Diceros bicornis minor: one gene and its partners. Each later gene encodes a partner of the first gene's protein in a complex. Links are inferred from orthologs where the notes say so. Each region holds a gene or a part of one and is shown in the gene's direction. Other genes may lie near its edges. The genes, in order: CHTOP, THOC2, THOC6 and SARNP.

Region 1 (7,538 bases):
GAGCCCTCAAGTGTCCTCCCAAGGTTCCCTCAATCTCCCTGAGGCTGGCAGGGGACCCAGCCCTCGCCTCACTTCCAGTGGGGTAAGAATAAGAAAGCAGATGGAACAGCTGCTTCTGCCCACCCCTGCTTCAGCCTCGGTCTCTCTGCCACCCCCACCCAGCCTTGCCAAGAGCTCAGGTTCCAGGGAAGTCTGGGGGGGGAGGGCAGAGCATGGACCGTGTGATATCAGGAAGAGGGGGCACTAGGATACTGTACCCAACCCCAACCCTCCCTTCACGTGAGTCCCCTTTCTCCTCCTCCTCTTCCTTGGCCCAGACCTCCAGATTCTTCTTCCCCTCAATTCTTTCCTCTTTGCTTTCCCATCTGTCCCCTCCCTGCCCAAGTCCTTTCAGAATGGCCCCTACACAAAATCCCAGGCTGCTCAAGGGCTCCAGGCAACCTTGAGGTGCCCATCCTGGATGGGGCCGATAACTTAGCCACCAGCACCCCTCCTTCACATACCCCCCTTATCCCCGCCATCAGCCCAGCTTGGGTTCCATCTCCCCCATGTCTCTGTGACAACTGCTTCTCATATCCGGAGTTCAGGTGACACTCACAAGGGCCCCATTGAAGAGCTGGGATGTCATCTGATCAGGGCCCATTGTCCAGCCCATCAGGCCTGGGGAAGGATGGGGACACCTGATCTGAGACACCTGAGCTGCCCCCTGAGACCATGGAGGGGCTGATTGTCCCAAGGCCAAGGCAAAGAGGCCCCTGCTTGGCAGTCCCTCCTCCTCAACAGACCCTTCCATTTTTCTCTTCTCTCGCAGCCCCTTGAACTCAGAGGACCCGTGCACTCAGCCCTTTATCTCCCTCAATACATTTTAGCCCATTCTCCCTGCTGCCACTGTCCCCACATCAATTAGGTCAGGCTGGGGGTGGGAGTGGCCAGCAGCAGGGACAAGTCCCACAGGATTCCTCTCCCCCTTCCTGGGAGCCCTGACTCCAGGGAAAAGGCTCAGACATTCCTCTCTCCCTTCCCACCACCACCCGATGGAAGGGCTGATTCTGCAGAGAAGTAAAAGGAACAAAACTAGAAGTAGTAGAGGTGAACCCCAGGGAAGCCAACGTAACATGTTCAGGAGAGAACAGACTTGAAGGACCAAAAGAGGCCCCCAGTCTGCTGACACGAAGTTCAGAGGCAGTGAGACCCGCCCCACCCCCGTCCTCATGAAACCTGGGGCCAGACACTCAGGCTGCCACCCTCTCCATCAGGCTGACCGAGGGCACCAGACTGACTCCTTGCTAGGGATGGGCAAAAGAGACAAGGCTATAAAGGGGAGCCCAGCCATCACTGCCAACAGCAGAGCTTGGCTGTGCTAGGCAGGCAAGGTCCAGCATAATAACAGAGCCAGAGGAAGCCTGGCCAGGTCCTGTGACCACCCCCGCCTGCCTGCCCCACCCTCCTCAGTGTCTGCCCAGGCAGCCAAGAGCCACTGCAGACTCCTCTGCAGGCCTCCAGAGCCAGCCCATCTCCAGCTGCTCTACCTCCATGCCCCAAACCCTGACTCCCTCTTGCTGGGGTATGGATTGAGGGACACAGAATACAGGTCTGGATTTAGGTCTGTTGGGTTCTCCCACATCGTAAAATCTCAGTGAAGGATAAATTTCAGTGGAGCTCTGATCTCATGGCTATTCGAGCTATGGGACCAGGGCCATGGCTAAGGGCTCCCCTCTACTGGACCACAGATACCCTGAGCTTGGTCCTCAGCTCACTTCCATGGTGGGGGTGGGTAGGTGAGCTGCGCAATGGGCTCTGAGCTGGAGACGGCGATGGAGACTCTCATCAATGTGTTCCACGCCCACTCGGGCAAGGAGGGGGACAAGTACAAGCTGAGCAAGAAGGAGCTGAAAGAGCTGCTGCAGACCGAGCTCTCTGGCTTCCTGGACGTGAGCACAGAGTGGGGGTATGGGGTGGAATGGGCAAGGGGTGGGGGAACAGAGTGGGCACCTCTCTGCCATCTCCCCACCCCACCCCAGCTCAGACCAACCATCTCCTTCCTCTCCCAGGCTTCTCTCCTGGGTTTTTCCAGGCTCCCCTAAGTCAAAATGCCGATTTATTGGTCACCTGTTAAAAGTGCTAGACTCTATGTAGATGCATCGATAACAAGGCTCACAGTCTAGAAGGGAAAGACTGACACTTGGAAGTAAACCATGAACACCAGGAAGTGACATATTCAGGAAAGAACAGAGTTGAAGGACCAAAAGAGGCCCCCAGTCTGCTGACAGGAAGCTCAGAGGCAGTGAGACCTTCCTCCCTCTGAAGCCTTGGGCCAGCCACTCAGGAAGTACGCAAAGCCTGAACAGAAGTGCCAGAAAGGCTTATGGGAGAATATTAACCTGACTAAAGTAGGACAGCTTCTCCAAAGAGGTGGCACTTGAGCTATGGATTTCCATCGCAAGGTTATTAAGGTAAATGTAGGTATTTTAGGAGGAAGTAACTGCATGAACAAAAGCATAGGAGAAAGAAGAATATGCAGCATGCTATATATAGTAAAGGAGAAGCCAATAGAAAGTGTACCAGCTTTGAGGTTTTATTAGACGTGGGTTCAAATTCTGGCCCTGCCACTTTCTAGCTGTGTGACTTTGGGCACATCATTTAACCACCAACTGTCAATTTGTTTCTTCTCTAGAATGGGAATAATGAAACCTACTTCATACTATTTGTGTTAGAATTAAATTAGACAATGCTTGTAAAGCTCCTAGTGTAGTGCTTGTGGCATTGTAGGCACTCAACATACGGTACTTGACGTTGTTATTGTTACTCTGCCTTGTTAAGGAGCTTATTCTGTAGGCAACAGGAGGCCACATGTGTTTTGTTAGTTTTGAGGAGGGGAGCAGAAGAGTCCCATAATTAGTCCCTCTTGTTCATCTCTGCCTCCTTCTCCCCAATCAGCCACCTCCCTTGCCCCTGACTCAGTGCTATTCATCTCCCTATACACCTACCTCTCCATCTCTTCCCTCCACAGGCCCAGAAGGATACGGATGCCGTGGACAAGGTGATGAAGGAGCTAGACGAGAATGGAGATGGGGAGGTGGACTTCCAGGAGTATGTGGTGCTGGTGGCTGCCCTCACAGTGGCCTGTAACAACTTCTTCTGGGAGAACAGTTGAGCAGACAGCCCCAGTGGGCAGCGCCCTTCCCCTCCACCCTGCCATACCTGCCCCTTTGCCCTGCTTCCCCCTCACCCCACTTTCCCCTCCCCACACTCCCACCCTTGCCCCTCCTCCAACAAGGGCGCAAGAGTAGTGGGCCAGGCCTGCAACTCATGTTTCATTAAAGGCTCCTCTCTCACCAGCTGCTGTCTGTCTCCTATGGGGTCTGCAAGTGAGTGGGGAAGTGAAGGCTGCTCAATCCCAGCTTGCCTTATTGGGGGGGGGGGGTCTTATTTGGAGAGAGATCAAGGGACCATTACACCTTCCTACTTGAGGAATGCTCATGGCCCAGGAAGGTAGGGGTTCAAAGTTCCAGCTGGAAGTACAGGAGATGTCAGCTTCTCAGCTATAAGACAGAAAAAGAAAGAATTTCCCTTTAACCTTGAAAGAATAGTTCCTGAGGACCTACCATGTACTAGACATTGTGTAGGAACTGGGGATACAGCAGTGAACAAAACGCGACCATTACCCTCACCTAGGTAAAGTAAGGTGGAAGGATGCTAGACCATTAAACACACACAGGAAAATGCTAGGAAAGAAAATGAAAGGATCCTGAAGTGCCTGTATGGGGGGGAGGAAGGGTCGAAGATGTGCTGATTTACTCATTCTTCAAACATTTGAGCATTTTATTGTGCACCCAGGCATAAGAAAAATCCTGTATAGGTCTGCATCAAAATTCAGCATGGATGGCAGATGGGGAGGGAGGACATGCAAGGGGATGCAGGCACACAAAGGTCCCCCCCAAATAAGGATTTAACAATATTCAGGCCAACTTGGGGAGGGAAGTGAAGAGGAAAATACGGAGGGCGTGTGGTGACTGGCACAGGCTCCAGTAGACGTGTGCTCCCAGCACCGGCCCCAGGCTGTGGCTGGGCCGTTTATGACACTCCACAACTCTGAACAGGGCGAATGATGACGAGAGGAGAGCCAGCGCTCATTACTCGGCCCGGTGGTAAGGAAGAGACCGAGGAAAGCCCCGCGTAAAGAATTTTAGACGGTCTGCCTTGGCTTGGGGAACCGGAAAGAGAGTGAAGAAACACGTAAACCTTTTTCATCAGGACCAAATCCGCTCTGAGCCGCCCAGATCTCGAACAACCCTGCCTCGAAAGCGAACCCTTCGCAAGACCCAAGGGCAGGCCATTGGCCACGCCCCTTTGTGGGCGGGGCACGGGGTGTACCTCAGACAGGGCCTTTGCTAAAGCCCCGCCTTCTCACTAGGGCTCCGCCCCCATCTCTGCGCAGGCGTAGCACAAATCTTCCCGCTCCCTAGTCGTGTGCGGACCGGACGCCTGACGTAATTGCGTCGGCGCCATTTTAGCCGGTCCCACTCCGCACTGGGCGTGGCGGCCATTTTGTTTTGGACAACGAGCGGGAGTTGGCGGCAGCGGCTGTGGTGGCACCGACGAAAGGCAGGCAAGGGCAGGCCGGGCGAGCAGACGGACCGGCCGACCAGACAGCCAGCCAGCAACAACGAACTAACTTAGCAGTCTACCGCTTACACACCTGACCAACCGCCCACAAGTGAAGCCGAGCCCCTCCACCGTCTGCTCAGGTTCGGCCGGCCCCCGGCCCGCCCGCCGCAGCCGTGGTGGCAGCCCCGGGAGGAGCACTGGCGTCTGTTTCCTTCGGTACGTGTTTGTGGTGAGAAGGAGGGGAGAAGTCTTGGGGAGCGGAAGGGGCCGGCGGACGCGGCACGGAAGGCGACGGCATGTGGAAGCAGATAGGGTGTCGGAGTGCGGGGGCCCGGGGAGGGGGCGGAGCCCCTGCGCGGAGGCGGGGGAGCGCCCGCGCTGGAGACTGGTGGCGGGGCTGAGGGAAAAGGTTGGCGTTTGATAGGGCTGGGAAGGAAGATGGAGCAAACTTGGCCGTGTTGACAGGGCTTTGAGATGGCAGGGAGATGAAATGAGGACAACAGGATTCAGGGAAGGTTGGGAAGTAATGGGGGCGGTAGGGTTACATTTTATAGAGCGCGCTCTGGGAGCTAACTCCCAGGTGAATGCCCCTTTAGGAAACCTTTCCTACTCCCTCCCCCGGGTCCCTAGTCCCTTGCTAAGGCCCTACTTGGGAGTCGAAAGCCAGGTTGAAACTAGTTATGCCTGTATCATCTTTCTAGACGAGTGGTTCTCAATTTGGCTGCACGTGAGAAGCGCCTAGGAATTCCGCTTTTTTTTTTTCTTTCCAGTTGCTGATCCGCAGACCTCACCACCAGAGACTGTGGTTTAATTGGTTTGAGGCCAGGCTTCTGTATTTTGTGTGTGTGTGTGTGTGTGTGTGGAAGATCAGCCCTGAGCTGAGCTAACATCTGTGCTAATCCTCCTCTTTTTGCTGAGGAAGACCGGCTCTGAGCTAACATCTATTGCCAATCCTTCTCCTTTTATTTTCCCCAAAGCCTCAGTGCATAGTTGTATGTCATAGTTGCACATCCTTCTAGTTGCTGTATGTGTGGGACATGGCCTCAGCGTGGCCGGAAAAGCGGTGCGTGGGGATCCGAACCCCGGGCTGCTGGTAGTGGAGCGCACGCACTTAACCGCTAAGCCACGGGTGGCCCTGTATCTTTTTTTTAAAGCTCCTTGCAGGCAGGGTTGAGAAGCACTGCTCTAGATTAAAAGCCAAACTCTTATACTTCCTTTAGCTAGGTCTAAGGCTGCCATTTTGGAGGCTTTGGCACATATTTTCTGTCCTGTGGCCTTGAAGTTTGTTAGTTTGCGGTAACTGTCTTATAAATTTAAGCACCCAAAATGAGTTCGAGTGTGATCTTCAGTAGTCATTGATACAAGCCTTTTCATTCATTGTGAGTGTGGGCCTTTGGCCCTAGCAGAAATGAGGTGGTTGTTATTCTGATTTGCTCTTTGTGCCCATTGTCCTTTTGTAGATTCTCGGGATTTGAAGATGGCTGCACAGTCAGCGCCGAAAGTTGTGCTAAAAAGCACCACCAAGATGTCTCTAAATGAGCGGTGAGGCAGCCAACGGCAACTTCAGCTCGTTCATAAGAAAACATTACTTAAATTGGCCTTGGGGTCCACTGCACAAAAACCGGTTTTAAACTAAATACCAACAGAAGGCTACAGACCTCTGTTCTTAGTTGCATCTTATGTGGTACACAAAACAGATTGGGCGGTTGTTTCAAAACCCCTCATCAGTAGATTTTTATGTTAAGCTGTCTGAGATATTTATCTGGTGGGATGTATTTTAAAAAGACTTCTCACACCCTCCCTTTTCTTCACATTTTTTTACGTTGATACAGGGGTGGTGCAGCTCGGTAGCATGGTACCCTGGCTGCAGTAGGCTTGCTGCCCAGTCCAAGGCCAGCAGTGTTGTGTCTGGCCTGTAAGAGGCAGGTAGCAAGCTATGAATATGTCCAAAGGCCCTGGAATGTCATTCTTGGGCCTTGTAAGAGGCACTTGCTTTGCTCCATTTCACTTTCTTTCCATTCTGCTTTAAGTTTGTTTTTGTTTTGGATTCTTTCACAATTAAGTGTTCTTCTCTTCCATTCCATTAAACTTACCTTGACAGGAATAATAGAAGAATGTCTTCACAAGCTCTTAAATGATTGAACGAATCACACTTTTTCAGAAGTAATCATTTGGAGTCAGAAAAAGTAATCATTTGAGGCTAAGAAAAGTTAAGGTATTTAACAGCAGTTTCTATCTCCAGGAGCTTTGTTCATTCAGTACCTTTGACCAGTGATTTTATTAAGTTGATGTTAGACCCCTGAAAGATTTCCCCAGTGTTTATTTTTGCCTTTTCTGAGGCATATGTGCTTCTTAACTCTTAGGGTATGATATACTAATTCTCTGTTCACATGTTACTAAGTGAACAAATATATAAGAAAATGTGATACACTCCCATAATATATATGAGTGTGTTATTTCCGTGGGCTTTGAAGGTGCTCTAGTCCTTCCTTATATTTGCCCTTAAAATACTCCCTCAGGTCCCCCAAGGTTTTGGCTTTCTTTCTTTGTCTTTGAAACTACATCTTCTGTCTCTTGTTGTCATCTTATCTGCTTATTGCGTGTTTTTCATGCCTTCCATCTCTCTAAAAGCCGTTACCTGAGCCCTTGTTATCACTTTTGATTGAATGTGCTGCACTTAGCTGCATTTCTAAGTTTCTGATTCTTGCAAGTTTGTGGAAGCAGAGGAGTCTTTAACCCACATCAGCCTTGATCTAAGTGTACCACTTTACTTAAAAGTTCGTGGGATCTGGAGCTCCTGGTCTAGCAGGCCATGAAAATGCCAATAAATGTTTTGTAATAAAGCTTTTATTTAAACATCCATTTTGTTCGACCTTGAAGCTTTACTAATATGCTGAAGAACAAACAGCCGATGCCAGTGAATATTCGGG
Region 2 (7,689 bases), on another chromosome or scaffold:
TTTGTATGTGAGCTGCCACCACAGCATGGCCACTGACAGACAGTGGTGTAGGTCTGTGCCCGGAAACTGAACCCAGGCCACTGAAGTGGAGCACACCGAACTTAACCAATAGGCCACCGGGGCTGGCCCCCTCTCTTCTTTTTTATAATCTGTCTTGCTAGAAGTTTGTCAGTTTTATTAGACTTTTCAACCAACCAAATTTTGGTTTTATTAATCTTTATTAATCTTTTCTATTGGACATTTTCCTTTTCATTAATATTTACTATTTAAAAATGTCCTTATTTCTGCTTTCTTTCATTTACTCTGTTATTGTTTTTGTAACTTCTTAAATTGGATGCTTACCTTTTTTCATTTCCAGCCTTGTTTCTTTAATAATACAAAGATTTAGGGACATAAATTTCTTTCTAAATGCCACTTTGGCTGCAACTCATCATTTTTTTCATTAGTTTTGATATGGAATATTTTCATTATTGTTCTGTTCTAAGTATTTTCTAATTTTTAGTATGACTTTTTTCTTTGACCTGTGATTTATTGCAAAGTATATTTTAAATTTTCCAAACACAGGTTTTTTTTTTTTTTTTTTGTCTTTTTGTATTGGTTTCCAATTTAATTGCATTGTGGTCAGAAAATGTGAGCTGTGTGAGACTGATTTTTTGAAATTTGTTGACATCCGCGCTTTTTTAACCTAGTATGTGATTAACTTTCATAAATGTTCCATGTGCTGGACCACCATTAGATAATGCCTTGCTCTTATGTGAATTAGGAGAATGTGCCCTTTCTTCCAGGTGTATGCAGCACCACACCAGAACACGTGGTTTGGCAAGTAGAGTGTGGGATGGATTTTGGCCCCTGCTTGTCCCCTTGGCTAGGTGCTTTTGATCAGTGAACAGTCTGTCCATGGAGGCCCGTTCACGTGTTCTTGTAAAGAATGCTTATTTTCCAGTTGCTAGGTACAGTGTTCTATGTATATCTACTAGATCAAACTTGTTCATTTGATGTTCAAATTTTCTACATCTTTACTGAGTTTTTTGTCTGCTTCATCTATCAATTTCTGAGAGAGATGAATTAAAGACTCTCACTGTGGTAGTGGATTTGTCTATCTCTCCTTGTATTTCTGTTAATTTTTGCTTCACATATTTCAAAGTGGTTGAGTACATTCAAGATTAGGATTATTACATTTTCCTGGTGAGCTGAAATTTTTATCAATATATGGTAACCCTCTTTAAATGTAGTAATTATTTTTTTCCCTTAAAGTCTATTTTGTCGGATATTAACCTAGCTATAACAGCTTGTATTTGCCTGGTGTATTTTCCCCATCATTTTTACTTTCAAACTTTCTGTGTCCCTGTGTTTTAGGGATGTCTCTTAAAAATAGCTAGACTTCTTCAATCTAGACTGATAATTTTTACTTTTTTTTTTGTGAGGAGGACTAGCCCTGAGCTAACATCCATTGCCAATCCTCCTCTTTTTGCTGAGGAAGACTGGCCCTGAGCTAACATCCATGCCCATCTTCCTCTACTTTATATGGGATGCTGCCACAGCATGGCCTGACAAGCGGTGCATCGGTGCACCCCTGGGATCCAAACCTGCAAATCCCAGGTCACCGAAGCAGAGCACGTGCACTTAACGGCTTGCGCCACTGGGCCGGCCCACAATTTTTACTTTTAACTGGGGCATTTAGTTCATTTACATTTTATGCAATTATTGATATATTTAAGTTTAAATCTACCATCTTCCTCTAATCTCTCTGTCCTGCTTTTCCAAAGTTTTTTTCCTCCTTTCTTGCCTTTTTTGGATTGATTGATATTTTTCTCTTTCTCTCTTTCAATTTTTTTCCCCTCTGGTAGTTTGGAAGATATATAATATCCTTTTATGTTTGTAGTGGTTATCCCAGAAAATTTAATATGCATATTTAACATAATTAAGTCTTTAGTTAATAAAAATCCATTACCAATACTCAGTATTCCAGGGGACAGTCCCACAAAGGGCAAAGCTTTTGCATTCATTCTTCGATTATTTTACTATTTTGTCTTGTTTTGCCCTTATGTGCTTCCTTCTTGGTCCTGTTATCTGTTTTCACTCAGATGGTAACAAGACTGACCTTACAATTACCTAAAATCAACCTATCTATGCATCAGACTGTCAACACTGAAACTACCCAATCCCTAGCCTTCATCAGAGACTTCATTTCCTGCCTAGTTCATCAGTAGCCATGAACCAGTGAGATCACCAGAGAATAGTACTCCCAGCTGCTGAGATGATACCAGATGCTGATAGCAAAGAAAAGGCAAGTCAACAACAAGGATGCAAAAGACATGATAGCTTTGCAATCTTATAGAGCAAAAAGCCAATTAGCGCTGAGGAATTCCTAAAGGAGTCATCATGCCATGTAAAATTAGTTCTGCAGGCTCCAGGAGAAGGGAAAACCAAGGCCTCAAAGGGCATCACTGCAGTCAGGTCACACCACATTTGTGGCATACTGAGTAGTATGCATACTGCACACAACTCAGTGTTTGGGAGGAGAAATCACTGTGATGCAGTGGCAAGGTAAGCCACAATACAGTAGAATATTGTATAGCTCAGTGGCTCTCAACAGGGGGCTATTTTGCACTCCAGGAGACATTTAGCAATGTCTCAAGACATTGTGACAACTGGTGCGGGGGGTGCTACTGACATCTAGTGTGTTGAGGCCAAGATGCTGCTAAGCTGCCCTCCGCAAAGAATTATCTGGCCCCAAATATGAATAGTTCCCACGACTGTAGATAATGCAGTGAAGTATACATAAGCAGCAAGATAGTGCTTCTTGTATCACAGAAGCCATCTTGTAATAATGATTTCAAAAATTTTTAGGGAAGGTGTTGGTACAATGAGGATTCAGTACACCATTCTGTTCACTTTTGAAATATTCCATAATAAAGAAAAATGAAAAGATCAGAGGGCACTCATATCTCTGAACCTCCTTGAAATGGCAAAAGGTTTTTATGAGCAGATATCATTGAAACTGAACGGTGTATATTTTTTAATGGGTGGCTTTAGAATTTCAAAATCAGACAGGACATTAGGAGATTAGATATAGCTGATGAAAAACAATCATAAACAACGTAGCATTTTCCCAGAACTTATTCTGAATATAGCCTACCCCATGAACAGTTTTTCAAAGCAAATGAACTTGGCCCATTTGGCAAAATTTACCAAATTTAGAAGATACTAGTTCTAAAGTTCATATGTTAATATATGTGTAGTAAGATTTTTTTCATTTGGTTTGTCTCTCTTTTCTAAATTTTCTGCCAAACATGTATTTTTAAAACCTTTTTATTTTGAAAAGTTGCACAAATACAACAGAGAAGCCCTGTATGTCCTTCACCTAGATTCCTAAAATGTTAATATGTTACATTTTCTTAATCATCCTATGTTTTTTTCCTGAAACATTTTAGAGTAAGTTGCAACATAATGCCTCATTATCTCTTAACACTTCAGTGGGTGTTTTCTTAAACAAGGACTTTCTCTCACATAACCACAGTACAAATGTTAGACTCAAGAAATTAACATTGATACAATGTTATTACTTAATCTATAGATACTCAAATTTGGTCAATTGTCCCAATAATGCCCTTTTTAGCAAAAGAAAAATGTTTTTTCTGGCTGGGGATCAGTTGTCCTATCTGTTGTTTTCCATTAATCTGGAAGAGTTCCTCAGTCTGTCTTTGTCTTTAGTGACCTTGACGATTCTGAAGAGTGCAAGCTGGTAATCTCGTAGACTGTCCCTCAATATGGGTTTGTCTGATGTTCCCTCATGATTAAATACAGGTTATGTGAATTTTGGCACGATGAACAGTACTACAAATTTGGTTAGTGTCTTTCTTAGCACCTTATCAGGAGGCACATGATGCCCATGTGTCTAATTTCTGGGGATGCTTATTTTCATCATAATTAGGACAGTGTCCGCCATGTTTTCCCACTGTCAAGTTTCTATTTCACCCTTTGAAATAGTTTCTTGTCGGGAGATACTTTGAGACTGTGTAATGTAAACAATTTGTTTCTCATGTACTTGCGCCCCCTAGTTTTGCCTAAGGTTACAACGACAGTGGCAGACACAGTAGCTCAGCACACAGCACTGGTGGCTGCCAGTGTTTTCCAGGGATGATTTTTCTCTTCCTCGTTAGACTGTAGCCCTTGTACTAGCTTAAGGCCTGGCCCATAGTAAATGCCTGCTTCTTCTCGATTAATTTTTTTTATCTCAGCAGTTAGCAGGGCGTATTGTAATTGATCTGCTTATATATTTGTCTTTCCCACAGACTGTGAGCTCGTTGAGGGTAGGCATCGTGGCTTATCGTTTCTCTATCCCCAATGTCTAGCACATACTAGGGGCTTGAAAATCCATGTTTGAATTAGTGCCTGGAGGAGATACTATGGAAGAAGATAGGAGCTAGGAGTCGGCCTGGGGATGGCATTTTTCCTGTTCTAAAGGGAAGCGAGGGCAAGGGTTGCAGAGGGCGCGGCCTGCGTGGGGACCCACGGGTCTCGGCCACCTCGTTGGCGGCAGGGCCTCGGGCTTCCGCGGGGTGGGGACGAAAGTGGGGCGGGAAATCGAAAACCGAACTCGCAGCTCCCGGCATTCCCCGTGGGCGGTGCTCCCCTTTGACCCCTCGCTCGCGTGCTACACATCCGGGCCTCTGCTACTAGTGAGAGGAAGATGGCGGCCGCAACGGTGTTGGTTCCCGTAGAGTGGATAAAGAATTGGGAGAAATCAGGGAGAGGCGAATTGTGAGTGTCCGGGCTGGAGGCGGGCGCACGGTCGGGCCAGGCCCAGGCGTCAGCCGCGCTCTCACACGTGGGGGGTGGTTGGGGGGGAAAGAGGTGCCCCCTCCCCCATCCGGGCGGCGGTTGTGGATGTGGCTAGGAGTTTCGAACTCGGGGAGGAGAGGTGCTCGTAACCGCCGCCGACCTCCTTCCTTCCCTGGCCTCCCCGAAATCCCCGCCGCCCGCCGTAGCCTGCCATCCTTGAGCCTCTTTGCAGAACTCCCGTTTCGCCCCTGCGGGTCCCCGCGCTCCCGCTCGGTCTCTTTTTGTCCCCCTCTTCGCTTGAGCTCACTTGGCTCCTTTCTCTTTACGGGGCCGCGCCGGGGGGGTTCGGACTTGCCATCTCTCTCTGTCCCATTTCTTCACTCTGCACCCGTTCGACTCCGCAGTTTGGAGCCCGGCGCCTCCTCTGCCCGAAGTCCGAGGAGGGCGAACCGTCCCGGACTCCCTCCCCTCCTCTCCGCCCGCCGCCGCGAAGCCCCGGGCGTCGCGAAGAGCCCCGCTTGGCACCTCTCGTCCTCCCGGGGAGCGGTCTCTCGGACGGTCCCGGCCTCGCGCGGCGCCGCTGGCCGTGGGAGAAGTGTAGCAGGGATTGCCGCTTTCCCCGAAGACCTACCAGCATTTCTTTGCTCCGTCTTTCCACCTTAGAGCCATTTCGGGTTGGATTCAACTTTCGTCATTAAATGTTTCCTAAACCCCATTTTGTCCTGGGACTGCAACTAATTTTGGCAACTCTCCAAGGTTCTCGAGTACCTAGAATAACGCGTTTCCTTCAGTCACAAAACTTGTTTTTATTTTTCAGTAATACAGAAAACAGTAATTTGCCATACCCGCGGTTTCCTCGCCCCAAATTTCAGCGCTCATTCTCTCGGAAAGGAAAAAAAAACGTTTAAGCAGTAATACAAATAACTTATTTAAAAACAAATAACTTATTTCTAATTTCCTTTTCTGAATCGCTTTATTAGCTAAAGCTCAACCCTGTTTGAATTTAAACTCGTTAGCCGTTTTCGCCGTTGCTCCCCTCCCTCCCCCACAAGTAGTCAGTTTACGGTTGCTGATGCGAAAAATAACAAATCATTGGAACTTCGTTACTTGGAATGCCACGCGGGGAACGTGTAACTTTGCCAGCCTATATGACCCCCCTCTCCCCCGCACTCGCGCTGCTTTAGGAAGTCTTAACAGTGTGAGCTCTAGAATTGGATTGCCTGGGTAAGCGGCAGTCTTAGCCACTTAACTGGCTGAGTGACCTTGGGTAAGTTCTTTAACCAATTTGACCGCTTCCCCTTGAGTAAATTGGGAATAATAAGTACTCAAAGGACTGTTGTGAAGACTAAATAATGCTTGTAGAGCACTTGGCTTATAGTAAGTGCTCAAGTGATAGCTATTAAAAGGAATATTATTATTTCAATCTTTTGATATTTAAACTTCTCAGGACAGCTCTTGCGCTTAAAAAGTGTCCCACTCAGGTTAGCAATTAATTGGTCTCTGACTCTTTCATGTATACTCTTGTACTCTAACGAATTGAGAGATCCTTGAAGAGTGGGGACTATGTCTCATATTTCTTTTGGCTCACCCCCCCTCCCCCCAGCCTTTCTAGCATATGCTTGGAGTGCTTACTGGTTTATTAACTGACAGAGAAGTATATTTGATAAACATTCATTTTTAACTGTTAGGAGCATTTTCCAAATCCTTGTACGTGCTAGTTAACAAATAGCTATTAAGTCCCTTGTGTCTAGGGAAGGCAAGGTGGTAAGTTACGAAACCAAACCATCGTCTTCGTCTGTATTAGATTAGGATAACTCCAAAAAACTGATAAATCAGTTCACTGTTGTTTTGTTTACTTTTAAAGCCAACTTAGTTATTTAGGGACTGTCATCTTTGTAGATTGCTCAGCTAACTGTTTTTGACAGTTTTACTATTATTACTCTCACTTTAGAATGAGTATCAGGGCTAGGAGGTGAAATTCTGCTTGACTTCTGACTGGCAGTGGTTGGAGAAAAACAAAGTGATGTAGGAGCTTGAAATACCTTAGTAAAAATGGAATTTTGGGTTCACTTTATGTATATTTACAAGACCCGTGCTTACAAGATCCATGCTTTATCCATACATAAAGTATACATAATATACTTTATTTATATTTACAAGATCCATGGAACTATGATCCATCATAGTTCCTGTGTTTGAAGAGCTGCTTCAAAACTGTTATTAGGACTTATACATGTGTAGTTAGTGCATGGCTTGTGGAATGTAGTTTGAATTATAGTAGATCCAAATCAGTATAGTCAGATTTATAGTTGTGTTCTGTTGTATGAAGAGAGTTTAAAGTTGTTAGTTGTGTGACATAATGAAGTATTTTAAGTAGTCAAACACATCACCATCAAGTACTTAGTCTTCATTTATTTGATCTCTTTTCTCTCCTTGAAAACTTGGTTGCATATAGTCTAACTTTGGAGTTTTTGTATCTTGCTAAAGATAGATGTTAGCATTTTCATTTTTTTAGAACAAATGGTGTTGTAAATATATTACAAAATATCCTTTCCTTTGTCTGAAAACAGACCCTCTTAAATATAAACCAGCAACAGGAAATGTTAAAAACGAAGGTGATGTGCCACTAAATTATTAGTGAATCCATTTATAGATTTGCCTTTTAGAATATGACCAATATTTAAAATTATATCTTCGGTGGATTTTTCCTTTTTAATGAGATAAATTAGCAGATGAGCTTTAACTTGACTGAAACTTACCTTTTTTAAAAAAATGCATGATATGTTTCATGAGGTTGTGAGTTCATTTCTTGTCTGTCACTTCTTACCAGTGTAAGTGAGTATTCTGGAAGTTGTAGTCTACTTCAGCATAGTAGTGTTAAAGCGACATATGAGATGTATGGGG
Region 3 (6,860 bases), on another chromosome or scaffold:
CCGGGGAGCCGGTGCCAGGTACGCCTGGCGGGGGCGGGGGCCGGGCGGGAGGGCGTGGGGGCCGGAACCCCCAGCTCGGGATAGGGAGGTCGCCATTGGGGGCCTAGAGGAGGGGGCAGCACTGGGGTGACTGGGCGGACGTGGGGATCGAGGGTCAGGTGGTCTCCAGACATTGCGCTCCCTCGCCAGGGGAAGTCCCATCCCGCTTCGAGCTTCATCCACGATTCAGGCCTGTTTTCCCGCCTCTCTAACTCGGGGGGCTTCTGTCCTGAAAGTCCGGACTCGGAAGTGGAGAAAAAGTTTAGGGCGGGATGTTTCCTCCGGTGAGGGGGCACGCCCCCAGCCAGGTCAACACCGGGTCTACCCAGCTCCAGTGACCTAAGAGTCGGGAGGGGTGTCGAGAGCCTCGGGGGTCTGTGCCCCCTATACCATGTGGGGTGCCCCCTTCCATCCGGTGACTTCAGTGCCCAGCTATGCGGGGGGAGGGGACCGGGGTCGGGCCCGGTGCCCGGGAGTGAGTCACCCGCCGGCGGCAGGGGGGGTTGTGGGGACCTGATCCCCCTCCACCCCCCCGCGTCCCGCGCTACGCCCCCTCCCTCCGCGCCGCCGTGTCCCGGTCGAGGCGTGCGGTCACCTGTGAGGAATGCGGGGGGAGGGCGCCGGTGACTCACGTTATTCGAGCCGGCCGACCCTGACCTCAGCCCCCAGAATAGCCGCGCCCCGCCCCCAGCCTCTGACCCGCGGCCCCCTCCCCAGGCACCACCCCCTGCTCTCGCGGCAGCTCCTGGAGCGCGGACCTCGACAAGTGCATGGACTGCGCGTCTTGCCCGGCGCGACCGCACAGCGACTTCTGCCTGGGCTGTGAGTGGGGGGCGGGGCCAGAGGCGAGCGGACCCCTGACTGGGGGTGGGGGTGCTGGGGTGGAGAGGGAAGCAGTGAGCTTCAGATCTGGGAAATTAATGGCGGGGGCGAGGACGCGGGAGGCGGGAGTAGGGAAGGGATTCGGATCAGGGTGGGGGCCACGGTGGGGGAAAGGCTTCAGGCTCAGGTCTAGGGGGCGGGGCTGGGCCGGAGAGGGGTAAGGTCTGACTTCGAGTCCCGCCCCCAGGCGCTGCGGCCCCTCCGGCCTCCTTCCGGCTGCTGTGGCCCATCTTGGGGGGCGCTCTGAGCCTGGCCCTCGTGCTGGGCCTGCTTTCCGGCTTCTTGGTCTGGAGACGGTGCCGCAGGAGAGAGAAGTTTACCAGTGAGTGTGCCCAGCCCGCCCGCCGCCTCCATAACTCCCCAACCTCTCCTCTGCTCTTGACCACCCTTCTGCTTGTCTTGCAGCCCCCATCGAGGAGACCGGCGGGGAGGGCTGTCCTGGCGTGGCGCTGATCCAGTGACAGTGAGCGCCCCTTGCCAGCAGGAGGCCCCACCTACTCATCATTCATTCATTCATTCATTCATTCTGGAGCCAGCCCCTACCTCCCAGACACACAGCCAGAGCCAGCCAGGCTGTTCCAACCACAGGGGTGTGGAAGGATGGGGTTCGGGTGAATCACTGCTCTGAGGTCTGGGCCCAGGCTTCCGAGGAGACTTCCAAGGTGTCTGACTGCCCTGTCTCTGGCTCCAGAACAGAAAAGGAGACCCACGCTGGCTCACACCAGACAGCTGACACTAAGGAACTGCAGCATTTGCACAAGGGGGTCCCTCTCCCCGCCATGGCCTGGGGGCCAGGCTGACCTGAGGGACAGACACAACACCAGGCCCCACCCACTCAGATGTACTGAAATTCCACCACGGGGTCTCACCCTGGGGGGTTAGGGACCTGTTCCTAACACTAGGGGGCTGGCCCTCTAGGGGGGGCTGGCCCTAAGACACTGCCCCCAAATCCCCAAAGGGGGGGGGATATTTATTTTGGGGAGAAAGTTTGGAGGGGAGGGAGAATTTATTAATAAAAGAATCTTTAACTTTAAATGGTTCGGAGAGTGTCCTGATCCCCAGCCCGACTTCCCAGAGCTGGCGGGAGCAGTGAGTCAGCCGCGGGGGCGGGGGTGAGGCTCTGACTCACACATTCTCAATGCCTGAGCCCAGCCTGCCAGGACCTGGCCCGGGCCCTGACCGTTTTCCAGGGAAGATCTTGAGGAGAAATCCCAGCATCCAGCGCCCCAGCCCTCCCCCTCTTCCCAAAGGCCCCAGGTTCCAGACTGAAACCTTTATTTGCTCAGCAATCTTTATTCAGTTCTCCTGTGGGTGGGGTGGGGGGGGGGGAATGCCTCCCTTCCCAGGTTCCTGCCCCTCCCACCCCAGGCTCTGTGGGCACAGTGTCCTCCTCTGTTAGGGGAAGGTCATGGAGGAAAAGCAGGGCAGCTGGTCCCTTCGTGGGGGTGCTGGTCTCCCTGTCGTGGGGAAGAAGGAAGGTGGGCAGGGGCAGTGCCCACCAGCACTCAGAGCTCCATTATGTCCCCAGCTGGGGTTGCAGGGTAGTGGGAGGTGGGGGTGTCCCCCAGCCTCAGCAGCCGGAGGGCCTCAGGGATCAGGTTCCCAGGGTAGCGCCAGAGAAGCAGCTCAGAGCAAGGGCTCCTGGAAGAGGAATGGACAGTCAGGGCACAGGGCTGAGGCTGGCCTGGCAGAGCCATCCCCCACCAGGGGCTCCTGCTGTAGGCACCTTCCAAGAAGCCAAGATGGGAAACAGAAGTTGGCTAGAAGCTAAAAATAGCAGGATGAGGCAGGGCCTGGAGGTTAGCTCCCAGGAGCGGGTATGATCCTCCAGAAGACCCAGCCCCTGGATGGTGGATAGTGCCTACCTGAGTGGGGGCAGAGCTGGGAGGAAAGCCATGGGGGGGCTGCAATAAGGGTGGTCATTGTGCAGGCTGAGTCGAGAGAAGTGGGTGGCCATGTTCTCCTCGGACAGGAACTGCTTGCGCAGGGGTTCCCTAGAGAGAGACAGGGAGGCAAGCAGGGTGGGATATTCAGAGGGGAGGCAGTCTGATGGGGACCTGAGGTCTTGTTGGGAGTCCCTCCCTGCCCCCAAACTCACTGCTCCTCCTCCAGGCGCCGCTTGGTGCTCATGGGCACGGCTCCTCGGAGAGGGGAGCTGGGAAGAAAAGAGAACCAGGTGCACCCCACCCTCTTGGCCCCATCCCGAGGATCTGCCTGCCTGAGCCTGCAGGGTCAGCCAGGAGCCTCCAGCACATCCCTGTCTTAGCTGACACCTAAGTCACCCCTCTCTCCCTGGCCATCCAGCAGCCTGCCGCGGAAGTCTCAGTCTCGAGCCTCCAACCCTGTCTTAGCTCATGTACAAGCCCTGCCGACTCGCCCCATCGCGTGTCACCCTGCAGACCTCCCCTGAGCCCCCAGCCAAAGCTCTTGCACTCCTGGGCCAGGCCCAGCCAGGGCCCCTCCACACACACCTCGTGTCCACGCCTCGGGGCGACCCCGAGGCAGCCCGCGGATCGCGCTGGGCCCGACCCAGGGGGCCTCGCTCCAGGGGCTGCTGCAGGATCATTGGGGTTCGGGGTCCCGAGGGCAGGGGTGGGATCCAGGCGACAGGGGCGGAGCCTCTAAGGGCGTGGCCCAACGCGAGGGGCGCGGCCGTAGGCGCGCGCAGCGGGGAGGTTCCGCGCAGGCGCGAAAGACGGGCGGCGCGTGGCTGGAAGGCGGATCTGCTCGGCAGGGTGGGGGAGGGGATCCGGCTCAGGGGGGGCTGCGGTGGGCGCTACTTAGTGTCGAGGATCTTCGCGGCGGTCACCTCAGTTCCTGGGGCTCGGGTTAGTACGCGGCGGCCGCCTTCGCGCCGGGCCTGCCAGCGGTCTTGGAGAGGTGGGGTGCCGCGAAGCGGAGCGGATCGCGGGCACGTCCGGACTCGTGAGGTTGCGTCGCGCGCGGAGCACTCTGGGACTTGTAGTTCTCGTGATGGAGCGAGCTGTGCCGCAGGCGGTGCCTCTCGGTCAGGTGAGGCGGGCGTGGTTGCGCAGTGTCTTCTGGGCTTTGTAGTCCATGCCCGGCTCGGAAGGGGGGGGCGAGGAGTCGTGCCCTGAGTCCTGTTTTGGGTGGGCTCTGGGCTGGGACTCGGACTCTGACGCGGGGGTGGGAGAATCACCCAGACATCCTTAAAAGGACTAACATGAAAGTCGGAGGATAGGGATTGTAAGCATGTTTTTCTGTATTGGGGTAATAGAGCCACTTTTTAAGCGCTTTCTACGAGCCACCCCTGTGTGAAACTCTGTGTACAGTACCTCATCCAATCTGACAGAATGTCCTGTGAGGTCCATTTGACAGTTGAGGAAATTTGGACGAGAGGCTGGGTGCTTGCTCAAGGTCCTATAGGCATCACGCCTCAACTCTACTCGCCTCGCCCTCTTCTTGGAGCCACCCCTGGGACTGTGAGGGCAGGTGCCCACTTGGTGGGCCGCCTCAACGGAGGGCTGAGAAGTCTGTGCAGTGGGAAGCTGGACTGGCGGCAGGGGAAGCAGGAAGGAGTCTGTGGATTGGAGGTCCCAGATGGTCTTCATCCAGCCTCTCCCTACAGGTGGAAGTGTTTCAGGCCCTGCAGCGGCTGCACATGACCATTTTCTCCCAGAGTGTGTCACCCTGCGGGAAGTTCCTTGCCGCCGGCAATAATTACGGGCAGATAGCCATCTTCAGGTACCCTTGGCCCTGCTCCCCACCACCCATTAGCTCTGGCACCTGGCCCTCCTGTACTGATGCCCCCTGCTTCTGACCCTCTCCGCTCTCCCTTCAGCTTGTCTGCTGCTTTGAGCTCCGAGGCCAAAGAGGAAAGTAAGAAGCCCGTGGTGACCTTCCAAGGTGGGTGCAGCCATTGAGTCTGGCTTCGGGGACCCCAGCGTGGAGGAGGGGAGCAGGACAGGGTCACTCAGGGTCTGCGTTTCCATTTAGCCCATGATGGGCCCGTCTACAGCATGGTCTCCACTGATCGGCAGCTGCTCAGCGCTGGGGATGGGGAGGTGAAGTCCTGGCTTTGGGTGGAGATCCTCAAGAAGGTAAGGAGCGTGGGGCTGGGGGAAGTGCTGGGGCGCCCAGCCCCAGAGAGAGAGAACCTTTGAAGTCACCCAGTGTTTCCTCCACCAAGGGCTGTAAGGAGCTGTGGCGTCGTCAGCCCCCATACAGGTGAGCCAGGGCCATGTGGGCAGGGGCATGTGGGGGTGAAGGTACCCTTCAGCAGAGCTGACGCCACTTTCCCTCCCCCAGGACCAGCCTGGAAGTGCCTGAGATCAATGCTTTGCTTCTTGTCCCCAAGGTTTGAGCCCTTTGTGACTGGGGCTCTGCCCTGCCCTCTTCTTGGCCCAATCTTTGATCCTTCCCCTCTCCCTGTCCTGATTTGACATTGACTTCCGACCCCACCTCGCCTTCCTCTGCAGGAGAATTCCCTCATCCTGGCGGGGGGAGACTGTCAATTGCATACGATGGACCTTGAGACGGGGGCCTTCACGGTGAGATGGCCACGGAGCTGGGGTGGTCAGGGCAGCACCGGGCCTTCTTCCCAGATCTTGTCCCGACACTGGCCCTCTCCCTGTAGCGGGCCCTCCGGGGCCACACGGACTACATCCACTGCCTGGCACTGCGGGAGCGGAGCCCCGAGGTGCTGTCAGGGGGCGAGGATGGAGCTGTGCGACTTTGGGGTAAGGGAACGTCTGGTTGGAGGGAAAGACGGTGGTGAGGGAGACTGGGGCAAGTAGGATGCCTCTCATGGTTCTTCCCTCACAGACCTTCGCACGGCCAAGGAGGTCCAGACGATCGAGGTCTATAAGCACGAGGTGAGGGCACACTGCACGCGTCCTCCCTTCCTTCTCCCTGGGCATCCCCTGCGTCTTCACCTCCTCCTTTCTTCCCCTGCTCCCTCCCAGGAGTGCTCGAGGCCCCACAATGGGCGCTGGATCGGATGTTTGGCAACTGACTCAGACTGGATGGTGAGCCGGGCAGAGGGCAGGATGGGGAGGCAGCTCTGGGCCCTGCCAGCTGAGGGCCTGTGGCTCACAGTGGCTGGGGACCCCCACCTTTCTGTCCAGGTCTGTGGAGGGGGCCCAGCACTTACTCTGTGGCACCTCCGATCCTCCACACCCACCACCATCTTCCCTATGCGGGCTCCACAGAAGCACGTCACCTTCTACCAGGACCTGGTGAGGCCCTCTGTCTTGCTTATGCCACCCCTGTCTGGCTCTCCTCTCCAGCCCTGAACGCTGATCCCCCTCCCTGCCCCCCACAGATTCTGTCAGCTGGCCAGGGCCGCTGCGTCAACCAGTGGCAACTGAGCGGGGAGCTCAAGGCCCAGGTGCCTGGCTCCTCCCCAGGGCTACTCAGCCTCAGCCTCAACCAGCAGCCAGCAGCCCCTGAGTGCAAGGTGGGTCCGGCAAGGGGCTATGGGGAGCCTGGGAGGCCAGGGCAGTGTGGGCAGGTCAGTCAGCCCCACCTTGCCTCCAGGTCCTGACAGCTGCGGGCAACAGCTGCCGGGTGGATGTCTTCACCAATCTGGGCTACCGCGCCTTCTCCCTGTCCTTCTGATCTCCCTCGGCAGTCTCCCATTCCAGGGATTTGCAGTGTTTTTATTTCTTTTTTTACAAATAAAATTTCAGGCTTTTGTTCCATGTGCTTTCTTCCCAAGAATGGAGGCCAGGTCGGTGTAATGATTTATATATTACTCTGTCTGATCTTGATACATAAATACCCACCCCCATCCCTGTCGTAGAGCATGCCAGGGGGCCTAGTGCTTAGAAAAGATAGACCTATGTAGATTAGAAAAATAGACAGCTCTGCCCCACCTGCTCCCGCCACCACCTGGGGCGCCTGGTCCCCAAAGCTGGCCCCTGCTCCCAGTGAGCCCCTGCCCAGCCTCCTGGGGCGGGGAGGGCACCAGCCCCCTT
Region 4 (7,492 bases), on another chromosome or scaffold:
TGCATCCTGCTGAGGAAGGAGACTTTTGGGCAGAGTCAAGCATGTTGGGCCTCAAGATCACCTACTTTGCGCTGATGGATGGAAAAGTGTATGACATCACAGGTACGCATCTGTCCCCTAGACATATGGGCTCATAAATGCTCAAAACTGTGATGTTTTGGCTAATTATTTCTCATGCTTGCAGAGTGGGCTGGATGCCAGCGTGTGGGAATCTCCCCAGATACTCACAGAGTCCCCTATCACATCTCATTTGGTTCTCGGATTCCAGGCACCAGTGGGCGGCAGAGGTAGGTGGTATTTCTTTCAATAATCTATCTACTATTCTAGTTCTGAATATGGTTTCAGATAACATGCTGTTTAGGACACCTAGATGTCTCACCCTTTAAGAAGTTTGGCAACTAACCCAGTAGATCTTTAACTTAGGTATAAATAGATAACATAGGAAACCATATGACTCTTAATATCTCGTCTCATTATTCTTTCTGTTTTCCTCTCAGAGCCACCCCAGATGCCCCTCCTGCTGACCTTCAGGATTTCTTGAGCCGGATCTTTCAAGTACCCCCAGGCCAGATGTCTAACGGAAACTTCTTTGCAGCTCCTCAGCCTGGCCCTGGGGCCACTGCAGCCTCCAAGCCCAACAGCACAGTACCCAAGGGAGAAGCCAAACCGAAGCGGCGGAAGAAAGTGAGGAGGCCCTTCCAACGTTGACACCCCGTCTCTTCTTTCCTCAGATCAATGTCAGGGAGTCAAAAGGGCTGTGTACAGCACAGGATGGAGTTTGATTTGTTTATTTTTAAATATTTAAAAAAGGGAAAATTTTAAGCTCAAATTGTTCACTCAGTACTTGTAGGAAGCCCTGGAACCACTCTCCCTCCTCCACCAGCACCCAGGAACTGAATCTTGTCTTCTGACAATACCAAAGAAATAGGGGGTGTCTAGAGCAAAGAATCGAGGGCCTGGGCCTGGGCTGGACAGTATTCCCCATAGTGGTGTGGGAACCGGGTATTTCCCTAGGGTCTGTATGCCTTTGTCTTGTCTTTTGCTTCCAGAGCAGATGACTTTTTCTCCTCTTTTTAAACTATCTTAGTTCTTGACCCATTTCAGAAGGGAGCCCCCTCCTTTACTCCAGTATACTAGATAAAAGACAGAACAAGAAAGCATGTAGCCCTAATTATAGGAGATATTTAGAGTTCAGAGAGTGGGAACTCTGAATTTTTCCTCTGACTTTCACCATTGTGGGTCATCACCCAACTTCATGCTTGTTGCTGCAGGGATGGCCAAAACTAGTAATTTTTAAAAAGCGACTCATGCCCTTTGCCCTTGGGTGAGGGGGAAGGATAAAGGGGCTCCCAGCGGCACCCTTATGATCCAAGGGTTTGTATTTTTTTAAGTTTGTTCATATTTGTATGTACATATCTATTTAAAGCCAGGGGATTATCTTTCTATAAATATATAACTGGCAACCTGTATCTTCCCTCTCTTCTTTGCCCATATAGCTGGAGCCCTTTTTCTCATTTGAGAATCCTTTCTCTACTAAGTGTTAGCTGCGCGTGAAGGGCACCTCCTACTGGACCAAGGGAGAGGGGATAAAAAAATACCTTAAAGAAGTTTTGTACAGTAAATCACTGTTCCATCTTTCTTCCCCAGCCTCATGAGGACATCTTCCTACCCTTCCTGCTGACCAAACTGTAGCCATATCTGAAAAAAAATGATCTTTATTATAAGGAACATACATAGCAGAACAGAGCTAGAAGGTAGTGGGGGTGGAAGCTATGGAAAAACTTAATTACCAAACAAAGCTGCCCAAACATGGCTTCCTGCTGTGGATGAGAATGATTTGGTCCTTACCTCACCTGCCTTTCCTGATTCAAAGAAACCTGTTCCTACCAGGGCTTGGCCCAGGGAGCTGCATTTTCCAATCTATTCTCTTCTTGGGAGTTTGGGAAAGGTTGTATAGTTCTGAGGCTTTCAAGACATAGAAGACAGTATGGAGAAGGGAAGGATGTCGCAGTCCTTTGTTCCAACGTCGTCCCCAGCCCCATCCCTCAGTATTTGTTGATGCCAAAGAGACGAACCCCATGGAACTGGGGCAACTTAGGCAGCAGTACGCTGAGCAATGAGGCTGTGTTGATGAGGAAGTGAACAGCATCATGCGTGGTGTAGAAGCTGGCCAGGAGGTAGCTGGGGAGAGAAGAAATAGGTTGAGTGAAGTTGGCCTCCCCTATCCATATTCATGCCTTTCCAGTGACTTTCTCTTCTATTTTAAATGAAATAGTCCTAGGATGTCTGAAATAGTCCAGCTCTAGTAACAGTATTTACTTTGGGGTTGGGGAGATAATCAAATAGCACCTTTAACTGGAGATTTATAAGTTAGTTTGTGTGTGTTTTAATTGTTAATGACATGTGGCAAATGACAGCTGAAGCAGTTTTAGCCTATATGACTGTTAGAGTCCTCTTTGCTTCCACTCCCCACTGTTAGTTTTTACAGATTTACATCAGTTCTACCTTTATTTATTCACTTCTTTTGGAAGTGTAAAATTATTTGGTTTTACTTGGTATTTTATCTTTTCTCAGTCCCCTACCACTAAGGAGGCAGCAAGGGATGCTTGAGTACTGTATTCTACTTTTTACTACTCTCTCTAGATTTAGACCTAGTATACCATAATATCTTCAAAGGGTCTGAATGAGTAGTCTGCTTTTCTAAAGCTTCCCTGTGGGCCTTTGTACCTGGCTCTTGGAGCATCTCCCATATCTCCCCCTGGACTCACAGTACAATAGGAGAGATGCTGAGGAATTTGCGGGAAGAGGTAAATTGGAGCCCGTAGTCCATCTGTTCCCAGTATGTCAGTAGCCGAGCCTTTCCTTGGTCAGGAGTTTCAAAGGGTGTCCCTTTCACAGTATGTAGGAAGATATACATAGCCTGGGAGGAGGGAAGGGGGCAGTGTGAGGGGGCAGAAAGTAGTCCTTCAGCCAAAGAATTATGCTAAGATCCCAAAAGGAAGACATAAATCCCCAAATAATTGATGATTTTATTGTTTTTGGTTTGGAAAGGCCTGGGGTGGGTAAAAGGGCATGGTTTAGTGCTCACCAAGTTATGGATGACGTTGGTCAGGGTCCAGACAACAGGAATGCTGAAGAAAGGGATGCTGAGTAGAACCACATGCAGCAGTCCTACCAAGATGATGTAGGCCAGCCAGATGCCCCGGCTATTCATCACTCGAGTGTTGGGGTTTACTTCGCTGTGTGCCACCCCCACATTCATCCTACCACAGTAGGGGATCAGACAGGAGTCCAACTCAATTTCCTCTCAACCCCTCTTTGAGTTTGTTCCCGAAGTTGTCTTCTGAATAGCCAAAATCCCTTGAACTCTATTAGAATGAAAGAACTTCCCCATCATGCACAAAGGAAAAACTGAAGACTTGGGGGAAAAAACTTAAAAGGCACGAAGAGTCCTCTCTGCATTTTAGAGACATATAATGGTAATTTTTACTCTGATCCTTACACTTCAACTGTAACTTGAAGGAGTAAGCCTAAGCTTGGGGCACCTGCTTCAAGGAGCAAGGGAAACATTAGTATCTCACTTTACTTTCCTGAAGACGTTAATAAGAAATCATGAGAGGTTACATACACCCAGAATTCCAGAAGAGGGTCATGGGAAACAATGAATCATTACGGAGGAGAAAGAAGGGTAAAGCTACTTCTAATCCCCACCTTTTCCTCAGGGGCTTGCCGGTTCTGTCAACCTCTTGGCACGTAAGCAGCCAGCACCCCAATTCCTTCTCTCAAGCCTGGGGCGCTGCCAGACTTTGACCAAGGCTTTTGGATAGGATGAGACCTAAGCTCAGCGTCTCGAGAGATGGAGCCCTAGCCCCGACTTCAGGGGCGGCTCTGGTCGTCTGAACTTGGCCCGTTGATGATGCCTAGTAAGAAGCAGCTCTTATCCGCCCCTCTCTACCTGAAATTCCCTGAATCCTAGTATTGAACCCGCCCTGTGCTCCTCCCAGCTTCCCTCTCTCGTTCGTTGGCTCCCCTCCGGGCTCTCTTCAGCGCTCTTCTCTCGGTATTTAACTCGCCGCCGCTCCACTCACCGCCCCCTCCCCTTTTGCCTCCCACCGTTTTTCTCGGCACCCCGTTCCAGTCTCCCGGCAGCCCCTACCTGCCTGCTTCAGAAGCCCGTCCAGCCTGGGGCGCAGGGCTCGCTTCCACACCTGCGATCTCCAGGAAGCAGCCGCCCTCGCCCATCTGCACTCTCCCGATTGGTGGAGCAGAATCAGCGCTGCTGCCACCCATTGGCTGGCGGTCTGCATTGGAGACGCACAATTGGTCGCCACTTAAGTCGTTCAGAAAGTGCAGAAGCCGCCCTCCACCCTGTCCCACCTTCAGAGACAGGAGGGGAGAGCTGCTTAGAGGAGTGAGAGCGACGCCAGCTGTTGACTAACGGGGAGAGTTGATGGTCCGAGGTGGGAGTAAGAGTGGCAGCGATTGGTCGGCCGTGGCTGGCTGCGCCCAGGCGGGAGCTCCGGGAGGCGGAGGCAGCGGGTGGGGGCCTGGCGGAGTGGAGGGGTAACAAGATGGCGACGGAGACGGTGGAGCTGCACAAGCTAAAGGTAGCGGGAACGGGGAAGGGCTGAGCTGGGCTCTCTGGGGACTGAATTCTGCTGGTGGCTTGCGCCTTTTCCTACATGTTCTCTTTACCGGCTTTTCCACTTCGTTTGCCGGCTCCCCTCGTAGTTCTTTTCTTTTGTGCCTCCTATCTTTCCCATACGCCTTGCCTAATTTCCCATTTCTTCTCACGGCTGTCTGGCGTTATTCCGGCTCCCTTCCTCATCGTTGTGTCGTCCGTTTCCTTTCCCCACCGGCTGGTGTAAGCGCCTTCAACCTGTTATCCTTCCTCCTCGTTTCTCCTCGAAGCTGCATTACGTCAGTGGTCCGCTCCTCTTCGCCCCACGCCGGACCTAGCACCCCTTTTTCTTCCCTGGCTTGATGCTCCCCTGTCTGTCGTCCGAAGCTGAGATTCCCGTTAGCAGGTGGTGGCACCTTTGTGTTTTCCGTCTGTCTAGGTCTCAAACGTGATCCAGAAAATGCTTCCACTCCTTTTTTTAGGTGGGGTTACGCCCCCGGGGCGAACTTTGAAACCTGAGGAGAAGCCTCCGAAGATAGGCCTCCGCGTGGAAGCCTGGGTTTCGGAGACCTTAGAGTTAGTGAAGGCACGGATCCCGCAGACCGAAAAGTTTTCGCGTTCTCTCACGCGGTTCTCTTCCCGCCAGCCTCCCCCCGCCCCCGCCCCCGCATCCCCTACCCGAGGGACAACTCGCTCAGAGCTGGGATGTTTTGGAAAAGCACTTCCGAGGTTAGGGTTATCTCTGTCCCGTTTCATATCGGGGATGGACCTTGCCTCTGTTCGTGTCTCCGCTGGGTGCCACTCTCCACCACAGAAGCTGTTTTAAGTTGTGTCTTTTGGGAATCTTGGTAGTTTTCTCACATTTAGTTGATTATTTTCCTGGAAGAAAAGAGTAGTTTCTTTTAGGGTGAATTGAGAATATCTTGATTAGTTGTCCATTTGTGGTTTCACAAGTAGTTTTCCCATCAGGTGTTTTGGTCACATCGTTCTGGGAACCTTGGATAAACCAGGCTGATTTAGCGGAATCCGAAAACTGATCCTTTAAAAAAAAAAAAAGTGTGAGAGTAAGGATAGGGAGAGCTTCTTTTAGTCACTTATTGGTTGACACCAATTAGCCTTTCTGTGAAAGCTAATGGATTTCTTATGCTTGGATTCTAAAGTATACTAGTGGGTTTTTGTGTTATCCTGGAGTTACTGTCAATTTAGCGGTACTGAAATGTGTAGATTATATCGGTAGTGTCGTAATATCACGATAAGTAAAAAAAATTGAGCAGTCACCTCCATTATATGTATAGTACTTACTTATATAAATTATGTACTGCCATACTGTTATGTATGTTATGAAAGATGTACAGAAAAGGAATTTTTGAATGAATGAGATAAAAAGGAAATATGAATAGAAGATCTAATGTTTTCTTCCGATTAGTCCCATTTTTGAAGCTCCTGAAGTTAAGTCATCAGCCTTGTGACTTGCGTTTGTGGATTTTTGTATTGGTTTATGGAGTTCCTTCTTCCATGAAACCTGTGTTTGTCAGGTCTATATTAAATTTGATTTTGGTTGGATAATGTCCTTTGACCTGATTTCAGGTATTATAGACTGAAAGAGCATGAGGCACTCCTGACAGCCTGAAAAGGATTCACTCTTTTAATCACATTTGCTTGTCTTTGCTTTTTCTCTAGAACACTTCTTAACCTTTTGGAGGTCACAGATATCTTTGAAACTCTGATGAAAGGTATGGACCCTCTGCCCAGAAAAAAGCATGTACACATACTTTGCATGCGATTTGAGGGGCTTCATAAAACTACCTTATAGCCCTGAGGAGTCCATGGACCTCCGGTTAAGAACCCATGCCTTTCATTCTAACTTCCAGGACAGTTAATGTTTGGTTCCACTGTTGATCTTGATGGAGTGATCCTGACTTTTGGGTTGACTTAGGGTTTTATCTCTTTTTTAAAAAGTCTTTCCATTTTTACTAGGAGAATTTGGGGCTTTAGTAGGGTTCTCAGAGGAAAGGAACAAGCTTTGAAGTAGGAAGGAAAAATATTTTCTATCTGAATTGATATGTAAGTTCACGTCAACTGCAAATTTCTGATGATTCTGTAGAAATGCAGTCGTTCTAACACAGTTGGAAAGAGACTGAATTGTGGGTGAAAATTCCTTGAACTGCAATAGTACCAGATCTCCAGTCAATGGTGAGCAAAGGGGCTACTGCAGGGGCTGGCCCCATGGTGTAGTGGTTAAGATCACCTGCTTTGGCGGCCTGGGCACGGACCTGCACAACACCACTCATCAAGCCATGCTGTGGCAGCCTCCCATGTACAAAATAGAGGAGGATTGGCACAGATGTTAGCTCAGGGACAATCTTCCTCAAGCAGAAAGAGGAAGATTGGCAATGGATGTTAGCTCAGGGCCAATCTCCCTCACCAAAAAAAAAAAAGAAGAAGAAAAGGACTACTGCAAGGAGAGAACGACAAGGTCAAAGTGTCAGAACTAGTGTCAGAGTGTTTAGAACAATGAGACATTTGTAATATTGAAGCGTAACGCGTATATGTTACTGGTTGAAGATGGAAAGGAAAGTCGGTGAACTGTGTGACTATAAAGGTAGATTGGAGTGATATTGAAAAGGGCCCTTTAAGTTGTGTAAGGTGTTTAGTGTTTGTCATGTAGGCAGAAGATGGGGAGCCTTTGGAAATTTGAAAGGAGGAGCTGATATGATCAGTTTTGTGTTCTTTTGGCAGTACCGAGAATGGGGTCTGGAGAGGGAGAGATTTCACCGGTTAGATTTTTTTTTTTTTTTAATTTTATTTATTTATTTTTTTCCCCCAAAGCCCCCGTAGATAGTTGCATGTCATAGATGCACATCCCTCCTG

Evidence for each region.
Region 2: CHTOP (region 1) and THOC2 share a complex: the UniProt entries of both Homo sapiens proteins name them as parts of the transcription/export (TREX) complex. The link is inferred for Diceros bicornis minor from reciprocal best matches to the Homo sapiens genes CHTOP and THOC2.
Region 3: CHTOP (region 1) and THOC6 share a complex: the UniProt entries of both Homo sapiens proteins name them as parts of the transcription/export (TREX) complex. The link is inferred for Diceros bicornis minor from reciprocal best matches to the Homo sapiens genes CHTOP and THOC6.
Region 4: CHTOP (region 1) and SARNP share a complex: the UniProt entries of both Homo sapiens proteins name them as parts of the transcription/export (TREX) complex. The link is inferred for Diceros bicornis minor from reciprocal best matches to the Homo sapiens genes CHTOP and SARNP.

Annotation. Positions count from the first base shown.
Region 1 is NC_080743.1:57,860,566-57,868,103, forward strand, and holds the start of CHTOP (chromatin target of PRMT1 protein), read left to right. Parts: upstream 1-4,533; 5' UTR 4,534-4,824; intron 4,825-6,068; 5' UTR 6,069-6,085; coding exon 6,086-6,150; intron 6,151-7,488; coding exon 7,489-7,538. Other genes in the region: S100A1 (protein S100-A1), read left to right, coding at 1,791-1,931, 3,011-3,154. UniProt on the Homo sapiens protein: Plays an important role in the ligand-dependent activation of estrogen receptor target genes. May play a role in the silencing of fetal globin genes.
Region 2 is NC_080781.1:113,613,066-113,620,754, reverse strand, and holds the start of THOC2 (THO complex subunit 2), read left to right. Parts: upstream 1-4,677; 5' UTR 4,678-4,693; coding exon 4,694-4,764; intron 4,765-7,689. UniProt on the Homo sapiens protein: Component of the THO subcomplex of the TREX complex which is thought to couple mRNA transcription, processing and nuclear export, and which specifically associates with spliced mRNA and not with unspliced pre-mRNA.
Region 3 is NC_080765.1:45,503,560-45,510,419, reverse strand, and holds THOC6 (THO complex subunit 6 homolog), read left to right. Parts: upstream 1-3,852; 5' UTR 3,853-3,894; coding exon 3,895-3,933; intron 3,934-4,510; coding exon 4,511-4,626; intron 4,627-4,723; coding exon 4,724-4,788; intron 4,789-4,878; coding exon 4,879-4,982; intron 4,983-5,071; coding exon 5,072-5,109; intron 5,110-5,190; coding exon 5,191-5,239; intron 5,240-5,360; coding exon 5,361-5,432; intron 5,433-5,518; coding exon 5,519-5,621; intron 5,622-5,706; coding exon 5,707-5,756; intron 5,757-5,846; coding exon 5,847-5,909; intron 5,910-6,008; coding exon 6,009-6,119; intron 6,120-6,205; coding exon 6,206-6,340; intron 6,341-6,420; coding exon 6,421-6,501; 3' UTR 6,502-6,577; downstream 6,578-6,860. Other genes in the region: TNFRSF12A (tumor necrosis factor receptor superfamily member 12A), read left to right, coding at 1-18, 757-861, 1,109-1,243, 1,327-1,382; HCFC1R1 (host cell factor C1 regulator 1), read right to left, coding at 2,427-2,562, 2,787-2,915, 3,020-3,076, 3,393-3,487. UniProt on the Homo sapiens protein: Component of the THO subcomplex of the TREX complex which is thought to couple mRNA transcription, processing and nuclear export, and which specifically associates with spliced mRNA and not with unspliced pre-mRNA.
Region 4 is NC_080756.1:12,864,862-12,872,353, forward strand, and holds the start of SARNP (SAP domain-containing ribonucleoprotein), read left to right. Parts: upstream 1-4,480; 5' UTR 4,481-4,571; coding exon 4,572-4,607; intron 4,608-7,492. Other genes in the region: DNAJC14 (dnaJ homolog subfamily C member 14), read left to right, coding at 1-102, 185-287, 498-708; ORMDL2 (ORM1-like protein 2), read right to left, coding at 2,046-2,181, 2,769-2,920, 3,089-3,263, 4,157-4,290. UniProt on the Homo sapiens protein: Binds both single-stranded and double-stranded DNA with higher affinity for the single-stranded form. Specifically binds to scaffold/matrix attachment region DNA. Also binds single-stranded RNA. Enhances RNA unwinding activity of DDX39A.